Saccharomyces cerevisiae S288C: one gene and its partners. The gene in region 1 interacts genetically with each later gene. Each region holds a gene or a part of one and is shown in the gene's direction. Other genes may lie near its edges.

Region 1 (5,199 bases):
ATCATCATTCCTGATGCTCCCCACGTCAGCCTTTATTGAGCTGGATGTTGTGAGTGATCTTTGCCTTTTCTTGTCGAACTGTTGCTTGAGGTCAAAAATATGCTTCTCAACTCTTTTTATTGAATTGTCAATTTCTCTAAGTTGAGTATTCGCTCTAATCCTCATCGAGTGCTTTTGTAAATGATTCGTAGAGTAAGATCCAGAGTATATATCAGATATTGTAGAATCCCGAAGATGTTCGATATCGTCTTTTTTCTTGCGCAATCGAGCTAATTCTTGATATTGGTTGTTTATTTCTGCTTTAAGATTTAAAAGTGCCTTGGTCATAGTACTTCTCGTTCGTCTTGCCATTAAGGGACTGGTCGGTGAAGGTGCACTATTTTCTAGCCTCTTGGTGGAGATAAATGAGGTCGAGAGTACCAGATTTTGTTTATTTCTTTTGGAACTTTCATTCGTTATGGTTGATGGGCTGCTGGAGGTGATGTTCTTGGCGCTTGATATTTGGGTGCTCGAGTTATCACGGCTATGTCTAGGGGTTAACAGTGGAGTAGTATTAGTTACTGACCGGCGCCGACTTGAGAGAGGGCTACTCTGTTTTGCACTGTGAGGTATGCTCATTGTGAATTTCAAAAACTTAATAGAAGCGGTACAGCACGAAGCAACCTCCCTAGCGTGTACACCTACAAATTGAAGGTACCTTAGTTATATCCGAGAACAATAGAACTGCTTGATATTCCATCTTCCATTTCGCCGATGGATCAATCAATTTTTAAGAGAATGCAAAAAAGAAAAAGATTACAATATGTATAATTAAAAGAAGAAAGAATGTATACGGATATACGATATGTGACCAGCCGGCAACGGCTCGTAGTTATACCATTATTTACAGTTTAAAGAGATTAAGCCAATGCGTAGTGCTACTTGTTGTTTTCGCTCGACAGGAGGTCTTGCAATTGCTTAGTTAGTTTGGAAGTTTCTTCGTCCATGCTCGTGTCGGTTTCTAAGGCTTGTGGAAGGCTCATGAACTCTCTAGTCTTAAATACAAACTCTCTTGCCGTTGAAATGTCAAGTGCCCAACAAAAGCCGAATATCAATGTGCTGAACGTACCTATTGAAGCGGCGGATGCATACGTTAACGCTGACATGGCTTCATTCCTTTGGGAAAAAGGTGGAAGCTTGTAATTTTGTTGAAATATGCTGGGGACGTCTGCTTTCAGTAGACGGTGTTAGTAACTATATCCTATTATTAGTTTTGGCCACTGAACTAGGACAAAATACATACATTTTCGTACTTTTATGGCCCTGGAGATAAGCCTCATGGTAATCAGGGTGAAGGCGGCCGCACCATAAAATCTGGCCATTTGAAGAACCCTGCGTTTCTTAAGTTCCTTCTTCTCTTCGATCATAGTTTCGTTTCTTGATGAAGTAGGATAGTCGTACTAATTGCTGACAAACCCGTCAAAGAATCAAGTTCCCCATCCTAATAAGTATTAAAAGCGCCAATTTTTCAAGAGACTCGCGGCTGGTGAATAACGCTGCTCCTTAGAAAAGGACAGCCAGCGGATAGCTACTCAGATCTTCGACTGACTTTATGCATTTTAGTATTTATATATTCATTCGATCTATTCTGTTTACTTAAAAATTAAAGATGAGTTGGATGTGGAAAATTCTTGACGTTCCGCTGATATTTTGTGTTGGGGTTGTTTTTGGGACCATGAGATTGCCATGAACCGATCAATCTTGTCTCATCTTCAAGTATCTCTTCACCACTTCATCCTTCTTGATGATGTATACTACAGCTCCCCAGCCTGATAGAGCGTCACGGTCAGCAGCATTCAGTAGGGCCTGACTTATAGTTTCGAAAAGATCTTCTGGCTCTAGATTAGGTTCGTACAGGGACTCACACATACCGAACAGTTGGTCGGATGCAGTACCGCTAACGATAAAATCCTTGGCCTCGTCGATACAGCCGATTAGGTCGAATCCCGCAATAAAGGGCTTCCCGGACTTGGAATTAATACCTGCTACCACCGGCCCCACAAAGTATGGACCGAATCTTCTTTCATAAAGTGAACTTGACACTAATTGGGTAAACGTTTCAGGCTCAATGGCCCTTTCTTCCTTCAACTTATATAGGTTCGTCTTGTAGCGGAACATCTCGTTCAGAGTAGTCACGTCGGTAGCCAGACCGGTAATCCCTAAGAACACATGCCCATAGTGGAAGATTTTTTCAAACTTGTTCGACACACCTAGTGACTGGCTTCCGAGACGCAAATCACAGGCAATGGCCACACAGTCTTTACCTGTCATCGCAACGACGATACCACCGTTAATAGAACTTGGATCCGACATTTTTTTTTTATGCTTTATTCACTGTTCAATATTTTCACCACAATTCGCAAGAAACGCACTCTACTTCGAAACTACGGTTCAAACTTACTTAGCAGCTTCCCGATTTAATTGGCCTTTCTACTATGCCATAAACTCTTTCTTCCTCTCTTTTCATCGCCCCTGCATTTGCACTTTTTTGCCACCGGCAGTGCCATCCGGTCACATGACTACACCACGTTAATAGCGATCTGGCTTATCATTGTCACAGAGTAAATTAAAATGGACGGTAAATGTTGGAAATGCACCACTACCGTTCTTCAACCAATCTAGTTTAGCTATCCTGCAACAGGTGGCCTTCTTGAGCATTCCCTGAGCATTCCAACCGGTTGTATCAGTGTTTTATCACCGTCTCACCATATCCCACGACTAGGCCACACTTCGTTACCCTATGCTACGCGTCATTTCCGCTATTTCTGTCCTGGTTTGTTTACAGTACGCGTGGTGGGACCATAAAGGGGAATAGTGGGGACTGGAGAAAAAATTTTCTCAGTTACTTCTTCTATCTTCCGTAGTTTCCATATACTAGTAGTTGAGTGTAGCGACAAAGAGCAGACGTAGTTATTTGTTAAAGGCCTACTAATTTGTTATCGTCATATGTCTCAAGTTCAAGAACAACATATATCAGAGTCACAGCTTCAGTACGGGAACGGTTCGTTGATGTCCACTGTACCAGCAGACCTTTCACAGTCAGTCGTTGATGGAAACGGCAACGGTAGCAGCGAAGATATTGAGGCCACCAACGGCTCCGGCGATGGTGGCGGATTGCAGGAGCAAGCGGAAGCGCAAGGTGAAATGGAGGATGAAGCATACGATGAAGCTGCCTTAGGTTCGTTTGTGCCAATAGAAAAACTGCAAGTGAACGGGATTACTATGGCGGATGTGAAAAAACTAAGGGAGAGTGGGCTTCACACTGCTGAAGCGGTAGCATATGCTCCCAGAAAGGATTTATTGGAAATCAAAGGTATATCGGAAGCTAAGGCAGATAAGTTGCTAAACGAAGCGGCAAGGCTAGTGCCTATGGGATTTGTCACGGCTGCTGATTTTCATATGAGAAGATCGGAGCTGATTTGTTTGACAACGGGTTCTAAGAATTTGGACACTCTTTTGGGTGGTGGTGTGGAAACTGGTTCTATTACTGAGCTTTTCGGTGAATTCAGGACAGGTAAGTCCCAGCTATGTCACACTTTGGCCGTGACATGCCAAATTCCATTGGATATTGGTGGCGGTGAAGGTAAGTGTTTGTATATCGATACCGAAGGTACTTTCAGGCCGGTAAGATTGGTATCCATAGCTCAGCGGTTCGGATTAGACCCGGATGATGCTTTGAACAACGTTGCGTATGCAAGAGCCTATAACGCCGATCATCAGTTAAGACTTCTGGATGCTGCTGCCCAAATGATGAGCGAGTCTCGGTTTTCCTTGATTGTGGTCGATTCTGTTATGGCTCTATACCGTACGGATTTTTCTGGTCGTGGTGAACTAAGCGCAAGGCAAATGCATTTAGCCAAATTTATGCGTGCTTTGCAAAGGCTGGCCGACCAATTTGGTGTTGCAGTCGTCGTTACTAACCAAGTGGTCGCCCAAGTTGATGGTGGTATGGCTTTTAATCCAGATCCAAAGAAGCCTATCGGTGGTAATATTATGGCACATTCTTCCACCACGCGATTAGGTTTCAAAAAGGGTAAGGGATGTCAAAGATTATGCAAAGTTGTTGACTCACCTTGCTTACCAGAGGCTGAATGTGTGTTCGCGATCTATGAAGATGGTGTTGGTGACCCCAGAGAAGAAGACGAGTAGGTATTTGGTCTCTTGTCTCTATTTATTTACACAGGTTTACTTTCAATTCTCCTCTTTTTCTTAGGTTGCGTTCCGTACATTTTTATCTTCATTTCCATCCACTGTCTTAGATTTTTGCATATATTTTGTCATATACCTCGCAACCCTACTGCGGTCTTAACCTTTTTTTTCAGTTCTTTTAAATAACTTTCGTATTGTCTGTCACCCATGAAATATATGTATTTTTCTACTCTTCTTCCCGATGACTACTTCCTCCTGCAGGGTCCGCGCGGCTTTATCCTTTTAGGGGAGTGAAGAGAAAAATTTTCTGATATGTCGCCATCCTCTTATAAAACCAACGTAAAATACCATACACTTCTTTATGGCAATGAATTTCCTTGTCTTCGTTTCGACGTTTTTAAATTGAATAAAAAATTGTACTTGGAAAAAAGAATAGAACAATACTTTTGCTAACAGCAAGAGAAGTACGGTTGACATTACGAGTATCCCTTTGTTAAAATCAGGCAGTACCCATAATGTCCATGACTATTTGCTCAAATACTCCTGGTGCATACCCTGAAATTGGAGCTTATAATGAGGTTGATAAACAGTTGGAATCAAGCGGATTCTCCTCTGATTCCTCTCTGATATTGAATAAACCAGAAGTTCGTCAATACTGGTCATCCGTTTCATCTCATATTTCACGCTCAGGTGATGTGTTTACAAATGATAAAGAAAAAATTTCATCCTCTATTGGTGAGGATGCGATGGATATCGACGCTTCGCCCTCATTGATTGAAAAATATAACTCTTTTCCCACAAGAAAGATTCTTCCTGAGCAGGACGAGTTTGAGAACGACGTTGAGGACGATGCTTCTTCCTCACTGAAGGAAAAATCACAAGGTTCTTGTGAAATTGAAATTGCTTCTGAAATTTCATCCGAAATTTTAAATGGCACATCGGCAGACGGTAATTCCGAGTTTCACGACTTCGCTGAGCCCCCTCCCTCTCAGAATGAATCTGTCGCTCTGT
Region 2 (5,967 bases), on another chromosome or scaffold:
GAGGATCAAAATACAAATGGAATCAAGAATGCTCTTCTGGTATGATACTTTTTGTTTTTCTTTTGAGCCCATGCGTACATTTGAGCTGTTGAAACAGTCAAAAATAAAACGGCAAATAAATTGAACTTGAACACAAAAGTAAACCAAATCCAAGACCAAACTTCAAAAGTATAGTTGGGAGCAACAAAAAGATTGAAAATACCTTGATTCAATGGGACACGGATCTTAGCGTTACCATGCTTCTTTTGATAGTCACCCCATAGGCGCAATTTAATGTGGCAATAAAAGTTCCATAGTTCTGAAAGCACGAAAAGACCAATTAATGTACTCAAGTCATCCAATTTCAAATATGAATAGTATTTGAATAACTTAGCATTCCCAAAGGGGAAGCCGTAGCCAAAGTAACCGAATGAAATGAGACCGCTTAGAACCCAGTAATGGAAACAATTTTTGAACAGGTTGAAAATTGGCATAGTAGCTAAAGAGAATTGGTGAACAAATAAGGTTTCAAATAATCTCTTTCCATAATGTCCTAAAATTAAAAAATATGCAACCCTGTTTAAAAATGGATTATAGTCGGAGCTAGCACTGTGCCATCTATCAACAACTGTGGGAATGGTAGATAGATAATAAAAAAGGGAGTGAACCAAGACTGGACCCAAATACTCACAAAAGAAGACTAATCTCCATGAAATTTGGGGACCCAAATCTTTGATGAAGAATTCCATTGAGTCATCAGCCTCTTCTTGAAAAAACGATTCTGAAATAACCGGAACTTGTTTAGATTCCTTTTTGTAGGTTAATCTTATCCTGTACTTGCTGATATTGTGGTTATTAGCAGAGATTTTTTTCAAAACATCATCTAAAGTAGGCTTTTTGGATAAGTCAATTTCAGTGTCCCTTAACCCTTTAGAGCGGCTTTTTATGGTGATAGGCATTTTCAAATTAAATTCAAAATATGTATCTCTCTCAAATAGCTCAATTGGTTTCTAGATAGCTAAATAGAATATAATCTTACTGTCCTCCGTTCTGTAAAATTCACGCTCTTAGTCCCTTTTCATAATTCCTTAACTTTTTGCGTACAAAATGATATGTTTATTATATTTTTCTTTTTTTTTTTTCAAATTTTTTCTTTTTCTTGAAAAATTTTTCAAATTGGAAAGCTCATCTCTCTTGAATGTATAATACTTTCTTCCTCTAACTTTCAAAAAGTTTTACATAGCCAAGAAGTTTTCCTTACATCGGTATACTACTGTTATATAAGTTATTCTTCGAGAAACAATTAGATATCATTCATCGGATAAATCTAAGTTGCCCATTGCTTTCAATAACTCCGATCAAATTAACTCAAATCAACTAAAACAGTAATGTCATTCAGACCAGGTAGCAGAGGTGGTTCCCGTGGAGGTTCCAGAGGTGGCTTCGGTGGTAGAGGCGGTTCCCGTGGTGGTGCTCGCGGTGGTTCCAGAGGTGGCTTCGGTGGTAGAGGCGGTTCTCGTGGTGGTGCCCGTGGTGGTTCCAGAGGCGGCTTCGGTGGTAGAGGCGGTTCTCGTGGTGGTGCCCGTGGTGGCTCCAGAGGTGGTAGAGGTGGCGCTGCTGGTGGTGCCCGTGGTGGTGCCAAGGTCGTTATTGAACCACATAGACATGCCGGTGTTTACATTGCTAGAGGTAAAGAAGATTTGCTAGTTACCAAGAACATGGCCCCAGGTGAATCAGTTTATGGTGAAAAGAGAATCTCCGTTGAAGAACCATCTAAGGAAGATGGTGTCCCACCAACCAAGGTCGAATACCGTGTATGGAACCCATTCAGATCTAAGTTGGCTGCCGGTATTATGGGTGGTCTAGATGAATTATTTATTGCCCCAGGCAAGAAAGTTTTATATTTAGGTGCTGCTTCCGGTACTTCTGTTTCTCACGTTTCAGATGTTGTTGGTCCAGAAGGTGTTGTCTACGCCGTAGAATTTTCTCACAGACCAGGCAGAGAATTGATTTCTATGGCAAAGAAGAGACCTAATATCATCCCAATCATTGAAGATGCTAGACACCCACAAAAATACAGAATGTTGATTGGTATGGTTGACTGTGTCTTCGCAGATGTTGCCCAGCCTGATCAAGCTCGTATTATTGCATTGAACTCTCATATGTTCTTGAAGGACCAAGGTGGTGTTGTTATCTCCATTAAGGCTAACTGTATTGATTCTACTGTAGACGCGGAAACCGTTTTTGCTAGAGAAGTTCAAAAGTTACGTGAGGAACGTATTAAGCCATTAGAACAATTGACTTTAGAGCCATATGAAAGAGACCATTGTATCGTCGTTGGTAGATACATGAGAAGCGGTTTGAAGAAATAAGTTGAATAAAGGAAATTAGTCAAAAGTTTCTGGTAGCTTGCTCAATTATTAGCAGAATAATTGTTTCGTTTATATATATTTCCCCCATTCAGTTTCACTTCCTATTTGAAGTTTTTGTAACCCTCGACTTTGTAAAATAGATATTACTAAATTCTTTTAGAGAACAAAAGTATTGTACGTATTCGCCATATAAAAAAAAAAGAGTATATGTGGTGACTTTTTGGTCATTAATTGTTAAGAGCAAGCAAGTAGAAATCATAATCATATTTCGAGTTTTTTAAAGGTAGGAACAATATCGATAAGCTGTTCTCCAGTCTCGACACTGTTTGATGACCATATATCATTAATTCTTGTAACACTACATCATAGATTTCTCTTTATCCTTGGATTGAATCTGAAAAAATTTTGATAGAGTCTTTTGTTCAAAGTGTCACTTCTTCATCTGTCACTCTTACGTATTTTTTTTTTTTTGGCTTTGCCCATAAGAAACATCACTGTATACGCAAGGTCGCAATATTTACTATTTAACATGGATGAGAGGCAGTGTGCGACCAAAACGAAGACTTAATCATTAAGAAGAGCGTGTGTTGCGTTGATTGGTAATAACCAAGTCGAAATTTGCACTAGGAGCTTCAGTCTAGGAGTGAACTTTTGAAAAGATTTCAGTCCAAAAATTATTATTTGGAACGCGGAGCTCCTCTAATAGTCGAAATAATAGAATGCATAGCGATACTAACGGTCGAACAAAGAGCAATAATAGCCCATCAGACAATAATCCAAATGAGACAGTTATATTAATAGATAGTGATAAGGAAGAAGACGCTTCTATTCGCGAGGCTAACCTTCCTGTGAGGTTGTACCCAGACAGACGGGTAGGGAGACGACGTGATGCTTTAAATAGGTTTGTGAGGTCAGATTCAAGGAGCAGGAATTCTCAACGGACTCACATAACAGCAAGCTCTGAGCGCCCTGATTTTCAAGCTAATAACGACGATATCACTATAATACGAGAAGTTGGACGGTTTTTTGGAGACGATGGACCTATTGATCCTTCTGCACATTACGTCGATCTTGATCAGGAGCCAGGTTCTGAAACGTTAGAAACTCCAAGAACAATACAAGTAGATAACACAAACGGGTACTTGAATGATAATGGTAATAACAATGAAAGTGATGATGGCCTGACAATAGTTGAAGAGAGAACAACACGACCCAGAGTGACACTGAACCTGCCAGGCGGGGAGAGGCTTGAGGTAACTGCGACGACAACAGACATACCGATAAGAAGGTCATTTGAATTCCAAGAAGATCTAGGCGCATCACGCAGGCAGTTACTGAGAAGGAGTGCTACAAGAGCCCGTAATTTATTTGTGGACCGGTCTGATGAAAACGATGAAGATTGGACAGATGATACCCATAATTTACCAGAAGCTATTCAAAGGGCTCGTAGGGAGAGCCGTATGCGAATGAGCAGACGGATTGCAGAAAGACAACGTAGGGTACAACAGCAAAGGGTGTCCAGTGACGAAAATATAAGTACATCTATTAGGTTACAATCAATCAGGGAACGAATACAATCATATACGCCTGATATTCGTAGTGCTTTTCATCGTGCAGAGTCACTGCATGAATTCAGGTCTATTTTACAAAATGTTGCTCCAATTACTTTGCAAGAATGTGAAGAAGAACTAATGGCACTCTTCACTGAGTTCAGAAATCAACTGCTGCAGAATTGGGCCATTGATAGGGTCAGAAATACTCAGGAAGAGGCCTTGAGACTTCACCGAGAAGCATTGGAAAGACAAGAAAGAACGGCAGGAAGAGTTTTCCATCGTGGCACATTACGTGAATCAATCACAAACTATCTTAATTTCAATGGAGAGGATGGGTTCTTAAGTCGTTTGTGGAGTGGCCCAGCATTGAGCGATGCTGACGAGGAACGACACACTCAAAATATCATTGATATGATCCAAGAGAGAGAAGAACGAGAGCGGGATGTGGTCATGAAGAATCTAATGAACAAAACCAGAGCCCAACAGGAAGAATTCGAAGCTAGGGCAGCCAGCCTACCCGAAGGTTATAGCGCGTCATTTGATACTACGCCAAAAATGAAATTAGACATTACGAAAAATGGTAAAGAAGAAACCATCATTGTGACAGATGACGATTTAGCAAAAACACTCGAGGATATTCCTGTTTGTTGCTTGTGTGGCGCAGAATTGGGGGTCGGAATACCGGATGATTTTACTGGAATCAGTCAAAAGGATCGTGGTGTTTCATTTGAAGGGTTAGTGTCAAAATACAAATTCCACTGCCCCTACCAAACCCTAGCCAGACCATCAATGCTTGATAGAGATTTATCAAAACGAACGTTTATTGCATCGTGTGGTCATGCATTTTGTGGTAGGTGTTTCGCCAGGATTGACAATGCAAAAAAAAAATCTAAGATGCCCAAAAAGAAACTAGCTCAACTAAAGGGTTCGGCTCATCCGGATAATTATGGCCCCAAATTATGTCCCGCAGATTCTTGTAAGAAGCTTATTCGTTCAAGAGGCAGGTTGAAGGAGGTTTACTTCTAGCACGCGGTTTAATTTTTATAAGGGCATTTTCGAACTTATCATCATTATATATTATCTACTTGCATGAACACTTTAATCACGCTTATTTAATTAAGATTAAAAGATCAGAGGTGCAATTGTGCTTTGTTTTATATAGTGGATTTGTGTGAAAGGGTTTGCTCCCACAAGATATGGAGATACTCTAAAACAGCATATCCAAAGTACAGCATAAACATAAACCCGCTAGACAGCCCGCTAGACAGTCTTCATTTCCAGAACTGGCCGGTTGTTGTTGGACATAAATGGGCTGCTGTGGGTGTTGTTGGTAATATTGGGGCTGCTGTTGCTGATAGTATTGAGGTTGTTGCTGATACTGCTGCTGCTGCTGTTGAGGTGGATAATAGTTCTGTTGGCTTTGCGATGGAGCGTAACCTCTAGACGCCGTTTCATATCCTGGTGGTGGAGCGCTAGGACGAGAATACTGAATCGAAAGTGATGTAATGAAAATACAAGGGCTCGTTAGTACGATGTGATCTTCTAAAGGCAAAACTTGTAAAATTAACGTACGCTTTGTTTGGAGGCAGAGTTTCCGTAATAATCTTGAGCTGACATGAGATGTGTATTTGCTTGGTTTATGGGCTATTGTATGGGTTTGTCTTAATATCCTTTTCGGTTGCGTAAATACTTTTTATATTTCAATATTTCACGATGCCGCTGATAGCATCGTTTAATACGAAAACTTCGAGCCATTTACCAAGAAATATTCTGGACTAGGTGGAAGGAAGCTTCGAGAACTCACCGTGGCTATTCAAGGCTGATGGACATATGTACTGGGCTGAGCTTAAGATCTCCCATTACTGCTCCGTGGGGTTTTATGTGAAATGTGGCGTTTCAGCAGTTTTTAGTTGGCTAATTTCCTAAAAGTAGTAATTAGTTTCTTATGATGGATTTAATGGCGTAGTTCATCCGCGTTTAATTTAACTAGAGGATAATCTACTTGCAGCATGAATGAAAATAGTAAGCCAGTAAGGATGCACTGACAGACTCAGCTACCGATT
Region 3 (5,558 bases), on another chromosome or scaffold:
CGTGGTTGTATCCTTTGATAAGATATATCTAGAAGGTGTTGTTTATATTTAAAAAGGCTTTATCTTTGTGTGCGATGCGCAGATACATATTTACCGACGCCTGAAGTGACACGACACGGACACAACAATAGTGTATGAGGGAAAGAGCTTCCGACAAAAAAAGTAAACTAATATACATGAATATTGCACCTCGTATAACCTTAGATATTCTCCTTAACATCACACATGTCGCCACGGCGAGAAGTCTCAAGCTTCATGAGTTCACGTAATGCCATGGTGGCATATGCGGAGGTTCCTAATTGAAATTTTAACACCACCGCAGTCTTCTCACCGCCTTTATCTGGCATATATCTGTCCAACTTGGCTTTCATATACTTCTGGCCGCTTTCTTTTGCTCTGGTGTTATTCAGGATGTCCAAATCAGTGTTCACCAATTGTTGAGAAGGATCATCATAGTGAATTATTCTATACTCTAAACTCTTTGGCTTTTGAATAACAGTTCTATAAGAGCCAGCCAATGAAAAATCGCGAACTTTTCTTCTCATATTAAATGGGTCCATATTATCTGCTTTCAATATATCCACATACAGTTGCTTCAATTCTTCGTTGGAAGGATAAAGCACATCAAAACCCGGCGATGGTAACACGACATCTTCCATGGTATACTTAACTGAGTCGATATCCTCTTGAGTTACTGCTTTTGCACGAATGAACTGAGCTTCACGGACATCTTCATCAAAGTCTTCATCGTCAATCCCAGAAATTAGTGGTGACTTTTCACTAGTATCAATGACAAGGTCACCTACAACTAACTTCAAACCATGTAGTTCTATCCGCTTACTAGCAATAGAATTCCAGACGTAACTTTGGTAGGCATGTACATACATAGTTCTCAAATTTCTGGGAATTTTCATAATAGCAGTATAATAAGCGTTCTCAGAATAAGTTCCATCTTCTTCTTTTCTTTGATTAGATAAAGAATATAGTAACGCATTTTCTGCGAGACACTGTCTTGGCATCTGCTTCAATGCTAAAGCCGCGTCCTTAGTTTCTGCCCAAATCTTCCTAGCTTCCTTAGATTTAGGAAGCACGTTATCCTGGTCAGATAAAATCAACTCAGCAGCCTTCTTCCAGTTTGAAAGGAGCAATTCTCTACCAATTGTGTGCGTAGAAATACTGAATGTACCGAATCTCTGCATACCAAAATAATTGATAAACCCATTTTCTGATAAAGACTTACAGCCGTTAGACACAATTTCTTCCAGTGATACCTCACTATTGCCGGTGGTAACATCTCTAATAACAACAACGAACTCATTTCCCTTCAAGTCTCCCAGATTCAAACTTGCATCCGAAAAATTGTAATTTCCGATAATCATTCCTTTTAAAGTCCTATTTAAAGCATTTAGTCTATCCAAACCAATCTTTGAAATCGAAACCCTTTGGCACGTTACTGCTCTACGATCCTTAGTACCTGCATATCTAATTACACGGCTTGGAACTCTTAACAACTTTGTTATAACATTGACAGCTTCCATAGTATCCTTATTTTCTTTATGTAGAGTGAAGTGAATAAAATCTTTACTGGGACCATATCCCCAATTTTCTACACCGTTAGCGTCCCTGGTTTGGTTAATTTTCTCTTGTTTATTGGTTCTTGAATTTCTATTTGATCTTGCAATCTTAAAAGTGTTAGTATCAGTAGTCACAGATTCTAATTCATTTTTAAATGCCTCACGTAACAGTTGGTGAATTTTAGTTCTAACAGATTTATCTTCGAAATTTTTTGCCGTTTCCATTTTATTAGCCGTGCGATAAACGGATTCTATTTTCAATACATCTTCCTCACCAAATATCTCCACCAATTGATTTCTTAATTCGGGGTCGACGTTGAATTCTTGTCTTCTAGCTGCTTCAGACTCCTTTTCTGCATTGACCTCTTCTTTAGAGCGTTGTGGTTTCTTTGGCATTTTAAATCCTTTATCAGTTAAGTGAATGACCTTACCTTCTTGATCTATTTCGTTGACCAAAAAGTCAGTATAACGCTGCTTAATTTGGCCTCTAAATCCTGGCAATTCTGGAGATAAGAACAAAGTAATACCGACATCTGCTTCGTGAATACCATCTGCCTGAGTACGTTGCTCAATTTTCAACTTCTTTGCAGCATTTTCGGAAGGTCCTACGTGAGCATCAAGGGGTCTCTTTACAGTGGCTTCTGAGGAGTCAGACATGGCATGCAACAGATATTGCTTTTTTCCTTGGGAAGGAACAACGTGATTATAATTAATCGATGAGCTGTACCTATTGACTATTTCATCATTATTATAATGATGGAAAATTTTCCAAATTACTACCCGCCCGTTGAAAAGATGAAAACGGCTTCCGGCGGAGCAAATGCAAAACGAATATTGCTAAAAGGTGTATATTATTATAGTAATCAAAGGAGAATAGAAAAGAGCTTTACCATTCTTTAGACGCTTCCTGTGCTACCATTCTCGGAAATACTGCAAGAAATCATCGATGTCCCATGACGGAAAAGAAGAACCTGGTATTGCCAAAAAGATAAACTCAGTAGATGATATTATTATCAAATGTCAATGCTGGGTCCAAAAAAATGATGAAGAACGATTAGCTGAAATTTTATCCATAAACACAAGAAAAGCACCACCAAAATTCTATGTTCACTATGTTAATTACAACAAGCGTTTAGATGAGTGGATTACCACTGACAGAATAAACCTGGATAAAGAAGTACTATATCCGAAACTAAAGGCTACTGATGAAGATAATAAGAAACAAAAAAAGAAGAAGGCAACAAATACTAGTGAAACGCCACAAGACTCTCTGCAAGATGGTGTAGATGGTTTCTCAAGAGAAAATACGGATGTTATGGACTTAGATAATCTAAATGTACAGGGAATAAAAGATGAGAACATATCACACGAGGATGAGATAAAAAAGCTTAGAACCTCCGGCTCTATGACACAAAATCCACATGAGGTGGCTCGAGTTAGAAATCTCAATCGAATCATTATGGGGAAATATGAAATAGAACCATGGTACTTTTCTCCATATCCTATTGAATTAACTGATGAAGATTTTATATATATCGACGATTTCACGTTGCAGTATTTTGGATCTAAGAAACAATACGAACGCTACAGGAAGAAATGTACATTAAGACATCCGCCAGGAAATGAAATCTACAGAGACGATTATGTTTCATTCTTTGAAATCGATGGTAGAAAGCAAAGGACTTGGTGTCGAAACTTGTGTTTACTTTCCAAACTTTTCCTAGATCACAAAACATTATACTATGACGTTGATCCGTTTTTGTTTTATTGCATGACGAGACGAGATGAGTTGGGTCACCATCTGGTGGGATATTTTTCCAAGGAAAAAGAATCCGCGGATGGTTACAATGTTGCATGTATCTTAACACTACCACAATACCAAAGGATGGGATATGGTAAGTTATTGATTGAATTTTCGTATGAATTGTCGAAAAAGGAAAACAAAGTTGGTTCTCCCGAGAAACCTTTGTCTGATTTGGGTCTCTTATCCTATAGAGCCTATTGGTCGGACACTCTCATAACGCTATTAGTGGAACACCAGAAGGAAATTACTATAGACGAAATAAGCTCCATGACTTCGATGACCACTACAGATATATTACACACAGCAAAGACACTGAATATCCTGCGATATTACAAGGGTCAGCATATTATTTTCCTGAATGAAGATATTTTAGATAGGTACAATCGACTTAAAGCCAAAAAGAGAAGGACAATAGACCCTAATAGACTCATATGGAAACCACCGGTATTTACTGCCTCTCAGTTACGCTTTGCCTGGTAAGCTATGTAGTGCTTTCCTAAACTTACATTCAAACAACTTCTAATGTAAAAGCTTTAAATAAATGAAATTTACGTAAAACAATCACTAATATTCAACGAGAACTCCAGTATTCCTGTAAGTTAATACTCTTACTTAAGATATACAGCCCAAACACTAAAAAATCCTTATTTATTCTAACATATTTTGTGTTTTCCAATGAATTCATTATTACCCAACTATCTTCAATTCTGCATCCGGTACCCCATATTTTTCTCTATTTTCGTAATATAGTCTTTTCAACTCCGCAATATACAAATCATGGAAATGATTAACAACATCATCTGGCGGATTTGTTATTTTCTTTTCAACGTATATAGGCCTTCCAACAACAACATTGATAGGCGCTCTAAATGGCAACAAACCGAAATCGTAATTGAATAATCCTCTTGCGTAGAAAATGGGAATGGTAAAACCAAAGTTTTCTTTGAACCATAGTTGCATTTTACCCAGGACTGAATCTTTTTTTGTGCTCAGAACATTATAACAGTCCACCTCTCCAAATGCAAACACAGGCACTAGGTTAATATTCCCCGTTTGAATGGCCAGTTTAATAAAACCCTTTCTTTTGTTTAAAATCAGTTGTGTACCATTTGTTGAACTTAATAAAGATTCCCTAGCGCCACCAACAACAATGCAGATCGACTGATTTTTGCTTAGAGTCCTTAAAGCGTTTTTCCGAGATACTGAAGAAATACCTAACGCCAATAAGTAGTCTCTATACAATGGGATATGAAATTGTGTGACCAGTGTCATCAGAGAAATAGGAATACCTGGGAAAATCTTGGAATAGTTACAACCTTCTGTTGCAAACGCTCCAAACGCACCAAGTGCTCCTATGCCGTGTGGATGGTAACCAAATAAGTACGTTGGCCCTGTACATTCCTGGTTGCGATAGTCAATAGTAGAGTTGCTTTTGAGATTAATGGAATACTTAGTTGGCCACAATCTAATCTTGTAATTTTTTTCGTTAACTCTCTTATTTTTTGAAAGCGTAAAAGTTGGTTTTAAATTGACAGTTTTAATCAAACTTATAGGGAAATAATCACAATACCACTTCCAAATGGGCAATGAACGAAATCGAAGAGAGTATCGATTTACCACTTCGCCAGTTGCAGGAGACCTATCGAAAAAAAAATAAATCATATATGGAATAGCAAGAACCCACAGTGCTGGTGTCGAGATTGCAAATAACGTAAATATGGAGAAGAGTACAAATGAAGAAGTGTGCCATGCTACAGCCAGAGTTTGTAACCTTCTTTCAAAAGGGGTCGCCAATGGACAGCATGACTCTAGTTGTGGTTTGAGAGTCTGTTCTCTTTTATCGATGCTTGACAAAGACTTATTCTCATGCCTTTCGGTAATACCGGCTGTAGGGCTTCCTTCTTCCTTCTTCCTTCTTCTTATATCATTGAATGTTCCTGACATTTATGTGACTGTTCAAACTGTATGCCTCTGCGTTTCCTTATGTATATGTAAGTGTATGTGTAAATGGAAATGAGATGATAGTAAACCTCCTTAATGGAACAAACGTGATCTGGGATAAACAGGAAAAAAAAAAAACTTTGGCGGAAGTGTAGTGAAAGATCCAAGCCTGATAGACCACTGTCGTGCTTGGTTAAGTACAGAAATGCGGTGGAAGTACTGGTCTGCTTTGAGGAATA
Region 4 (4,249 bases), on another chromosome or scaffold:
GAAGCCATCAGAGAGTCATCCAAAAAAGGAGAAACGGAGTTTTCTCTGAGGCTCGTATCCGCAGCAGTTTCATCTGGGGTTTCTGCAGAATGATTAAGCTTGAAAGTTAACTTAACGACTAGATAAAAGGCATAAAGGAACGCCATCAAAAGGCAATTCAGCACAGTGACCTGATTCATAAGGGAAACGTAACTCATTACGCACATGGCAGCTAAAGAAAATAACAAGTCTCTCATGATGGATAGTTTTTGAATTTGCGAGATTTCAATGTGAGTTCTTGACATAATAATAAAAATGGAGCCCTCTACAATGCACAGGATAATGCCGCAAGCGCCAAGCACCTCACCAATTGATAGCGATACTGAGGTTGACCTTGTTTCTCTCGTAGAGGTTGCCCAGCTCATTAAGTTGGAAAATAGGTCAGGCGAAGAGTTACACCAAGATAGTAGAACTGCCATTAATGCCCCAGTATGAGATGCATGGGACGCCGTTTTTGAGACTAAAGAACCATTCGATCGAAGGCTGTTGGGATCTGATATATGGGCCACGTTGGGGCAAAGAAAATCGGATGCACATATTCCTAATAACACGAAAGCAATAATGATATGAAATAAGCTCGGCACAATAAACGTTACTGAAAGTTTAGGATCCTTGTAAAGTAATCGTGGATGGGCGACATTGATTGCCCAGTCCATATTATTGTGTTATTGTTGCTTGTGTACGGCCGTATGTGGAGAGGATGAACGAGTATTTTGTTCTTAGCGCTGCTTGTCCTTTTTTCTTGAAGCTGTACTTTATAGCGCCTCTTTTCCTTATTGTGGTAACGGTGGCTTATTTGGTTTAAGAACAAGCGGTAAACATGTCTACGAATGAAAAGCTAGAGGGAACACGTAGAGTATATTTTATTTCTATTATATTGTAAGAAGAATCTATTTAGAGTAAGATATTTTTTCGGAAGGGTAAGAGGGACCAACTTCTTGAATAGACAAAGCAGCTAGCCATTGACCCATGTCAATAGAGGTTTCCAAATCTTCACCTTTAGTCAACCCAGCCATAAAGCCACCAGCGAAGGCGTCACCAGCACCGTTGGTGTCGACGATCTTAGAAGAGTCCAAAGGTTTGACTGGATATGTGCTGGTACCCTTGGAGGACACGACCACTGTTGGTTCGACACCGTGGGTGAAGATGACAGTCTTTTCAACTGGAGAGTCCTTGACAATTCTTTGAGCAATAGCTTCCAAATCAGTGTTGGCACAGTCTAATTGGAAGGCGTCGCAAAAGGCTTCGGCCTCCGATTCGTTAGCGATGATGACGGTAGCATAAGGCAAAACTCTGGCCAATGCGTCTTTGAAGACATGAGGAATGAAAGGAGCACTAAAGTTCAACACGAAAGGTTTGCTGTTCTCTTTAGCATGTTGGCCCAACTTAACGATAGCGTCTGGAGACACGGTCAAGTGGAAACCACCGATGTAGAAGAGCTTAGCTGCTTCGACCAAGTCCCAATGCTTGTCCAAGTGGTCTGGAGTAAAGAAATTGGCAGCACCCAAGTCAGTGACCAAGGACCGGTTATGGCCAGTGATTAATGCGGCACACTTACCGGTACCAATATCATTTTGAACTTGGTACATAGACTTGACACCAGCTTTTTCGTTTTCGTTAAGCAATCTCTCGCTGAACTTGTCCTTACCGACGGAACCGAAGTACACCACCTGGCCGGCGCCCAAAACGTATGCTGCCCCTCTAGCAGTGTTTTGAGCAGCACCACCTGCAACAAGCTTTGTTTCTGGCATCTGTAAGAGCTCGTCAAAAATAGCCATCTTAGCATCGCCTGATTTGGCATCGACCAAAATTGCGTCGTTTTCCTTTAGAGAATACTTGGCCAGGTATTCAGCCGTGACGTCGGCTTGGAAATCTAAAAGTGGGTTACCCAATACTACCAATGGTGCGGTCATAATTGCTTGCTCTTTCTTTTGCTGTTATCTTTGGTTCTACCCTGCACAAGATAAACTGAGATGACTACCTAATTAGACATGGCATGCCTATAAGTAAAGAGAATTGGGCTCGAAGAATAATTTTCAAGCCTGCCCTCATCACGTACGACGACACTGCGACTCATCCATGTGAAAATTATCGGCATCTGCAAAAAAAGTTTCAACTTCCACAGGTAATATTGGCATGATGCGAAATTGGACGTAAGTATCTCTGAAGTGCAGCCGATTGGGCGTGCGACTCACCCACTCAGGACATGATCTCAGTAGCGGGTTCGATAAGGCGATGACAGCGCAAATGCCGCTTACTGGAAGTACAGAACCCGCTCCCTTAGGGGCACCCACCCCAGCACGCCGGGGGGTTAAACCGGTGTGTCGGAATTAGTAAGCGGACATCCCTTCCGCTGGGCTCGCCATCGCAGATATATATATAAGAAGATGGTTTTGGGCAAATGTTTAGCTGTAACTATGTTGCGGAAAAACAGGCAAGAAAGCAATCGCGCAAACAAATAAAACATAATTAATTTATAATGGTTCAAGCAGTCGCAGTGTTAAAGGGTGATGCCGGTGTCTCTGGTGTTGTCAAGTTCGAACAGGCTTCCGAATCCGAGCCAACCACTGTCTCTTACGAGATCGCTGGTAACAGTCCTAACGCAGAACGTGGGTTCCACATTCATGAGTTTGGAGATGCCACCAATGGTTGTGTCTCTGCTGGTCCTCACTTCAATCCTTTCAAGAAGACACATGGTGCTCCAACTGACGAAGTCAGACATGTCGGTGACATGGGTAACGTAAAGACGGACGAAAATGGTGTGGCCAAGGGCTCCTTCAAGGACTCTTTGATCAAGCTTATCGGTCCTACCTCCGTTGTAGGCAGAAGCGTCGTTATCCACGCCGGCCAAGATGACTTAGGTAAGGGTGACACTGAAGAATCTTTGAAGACTGGTAATGCCGGTCCAAGACCAGCCTGTGGTGTCATTGGTCTAACCAACTAATGTTAATGATAATATACTTGAATAAAAACCGTATGTAAGTAAGTAGTAAGCGCATCAATTCATTCATTTTCATTTCCCTCGCTTAGATTTATGTCCTTGATCACTTCACCAAGTGTGCCGGAGGCTGCGGCCACAAGCCCCCAAAACGGTCTTGATGGTTCCAGCACCTTCGATGTATACTCTGGATGGTATTGAGTGCCCACGTAGTATGGATGGCCTTTCAATTCGAATATTTCGCAACGCTGGCCCGTCTCGTCCTTACCAACAAAAATAAAGCCACGAGACTCCATATCATTCACTATTTTCGGGTTTATCTCATAGCGATGACGATGTCTCTCATGCACCTCATTAACTTCACCATAAAGCTTCCTTATGTTGCTCCATTCTGAGTTCGGTTGGAAAATGGTAGGCCTCAAACCCAATCTCATCGTGCCACCCATGTGTTCCTTGTCGATCTCGGGCATGTATATGACTACTTGGTCTTCAGGAGCTAGTAGTGTCTCGTCCAAAAATTCTGTAGAACTGCTGTTTGGGCGGCCTATCACATTGCGGGCGAACTCGATAGCGGCAACTTGTAATCCAAGACAGACACCAAGAAAGGGAACACCGGATTCACGGGCCCATTTGGCAGCAAGAATCATACCTTCAATACCTCTCGTGCCAAATCCACCAGGAACCAAAATTCCGTCGGCGGAACTGAGCTTATTCCATGAATCGTGGAACTTGTTCTTGTCCACCTCTTGAGTTTCGGGCTCTAGGTTACTTGCCTCTACCCAGAGGATTTCTAGCTGACGACGGCACTTCATGCTTGCGTGTTCTAAGGATTTGGTCACAGATAGGTAGGAATCCTTCAAATTAGTGTATTTTCCCACAAGAGCAATCTTGACAACATCATCAGAATCATCTAGGTTTTTGGTCATGTTTTCCCAGTTAGTCAATAATTGAGACCCTCTTTCCTTGTCTTCCAAGGTTAGAGGCACTTCACCTAATTTCAACCTTGAATGGAGGTAGTCGATCATATGTTGCTTTAGCAGCAATAAGGGAACGTGGTACGTGGAGTTAACATCATGAACGTTGACCACTTGCTCCGGCCCCACATGGCAAAACATGGCAATCTTGTCAATAGTGCTCCTGTTAAGTTCTTCGCTGCATCTGCAGGCAATCATATCGGGAATAAGCCCTAATGACCTTAAATCTTTGATTGCTGCTTGGGTGGGTTTCGTCTTCTGTTCACCATGAATGACGGGCACAAGTGAAACATGGATC

Evidence for each region.
Region 2: mutations in RAD51 (region 1) and SLX5 together harm fitness more than expected from each alone (negative genetic interaction), as found in Saccharomyces cerevisiae (4 studies listed by BioGRID, with this or other methods).
Region 3: mutations in RAD51 (region 1) and ESA1 impair growth when combined (synthetic growth defect), as found in Saccharomyces cerevisiae (3 studies listed by BioGRID).
Region 4: mutations in RAD51 (region 1) and SOD1 impair growth when combined (synthetic growth defect), as found in Saccharomyces cerevisiae (4 studies listed by BioGRID, with this or other methods).

The regions. Positions count from the first base shown.
Region 1 is NC_001137.3:346,995-352,193, forward strand, and holds RAD51 (recombinase RAD51), read left to right. Parts: upstream 1-2,985; coding exon 2,986-4,188; downstream 4,189-5,199. Other genes in the region: TORC2 complex subunit TSC11, read right to left, coding at 1-618; AIM11 (Aim11p), read right to left, coding at 918-1,207, 1,283-1,406; PUP3 (proteasome core particle subunit beta 3), read right to left, coding at 1,735-2,352; SHC1 (Shc1p), read left to right, coding at 4,704-5,199. UniProt on the Saccharomyces cerevisiae protein: Required both for recombination and for the repair of DNA damage caused by X-rays. Its function may be modulated by interaction with other repair proteins. RAD52 interacts directly with RAD51, via its C-terminus.
Region 2 is NC_001136.10:425,997-431,963, forward strand, and holds SLX5 (SUMO-targeted ubiquitin ligase complex subunit SLX5), read left to right. Parts: upstream 1-3,070; coding exon 3,071-4,930; downstream 4,931-5,967. Other genes in the region: trans-2-enoyl-CoA reductase (NADPH) TSC13, read right to left, coding at 6-938; rRNA methyltransferase NOP1, read left to right, coding at 1,368-2,351; YDL012C (uncharacterized protein), read right to left, coding at 5,112-5,390, 5,477-5,521. UniProt on the Saccharomyces cerevisiae protein: Component of the SUMO-targeted ubiquitin ligase (STUbL) complex SLX5/SLX8 that mediates ubiquitination and subsequent desumoylation of sumoylated proteins and proteins containing SUMO-like domains for their degradation.
Region 3 is NC_001147.6:790,011-795,568, forward strand, and holds ESA1 (NuA4 histone acetyltransferase complex catalytic subunit ESA1), read left to right. Parts: upstream 1-2,520; coding exon 2,521-3,858; downstream 3,859-5,558. Other genes in the region: pseudouridine synthase PUS7, read right to left, coding at 201-2,231; DGA1 (diacylglycerol O-acyltransferase), read right to left, coding at 4,066-5,322. UniProt on the Saccharomyces cerevisiae protein: Catalytic component of the NuA4 histone acetyltransferase (HAT), a multiprotein complex involved in epigenetic transcriptional activation of selected genes principally by acetylation of nucleosomal histones H4, H3, H2B, H2A and H2A variant H2A.Z.
Region 4 is NC_001142.9:621,284-625,532, reverse strand, and holds SOD1 (superoxide dismutase SOD1), read left to right. Parts: upstream 1-2,518; coding exon 2,519-2,983; downstream 2,984-4,249. Other genes in the region: ECM27 (Ecm27p), read right to left, coding at 1-695; ADO1 (adenosine kinase), read right to left, coding at 930-1,952; CTP synthase URA8, read right to left, coding at 3,043-4,249. UniProt on the Saccharomyces cerevisiae protein: Destroys radicals which are normally produced within the cells and which are toxic to biological systems.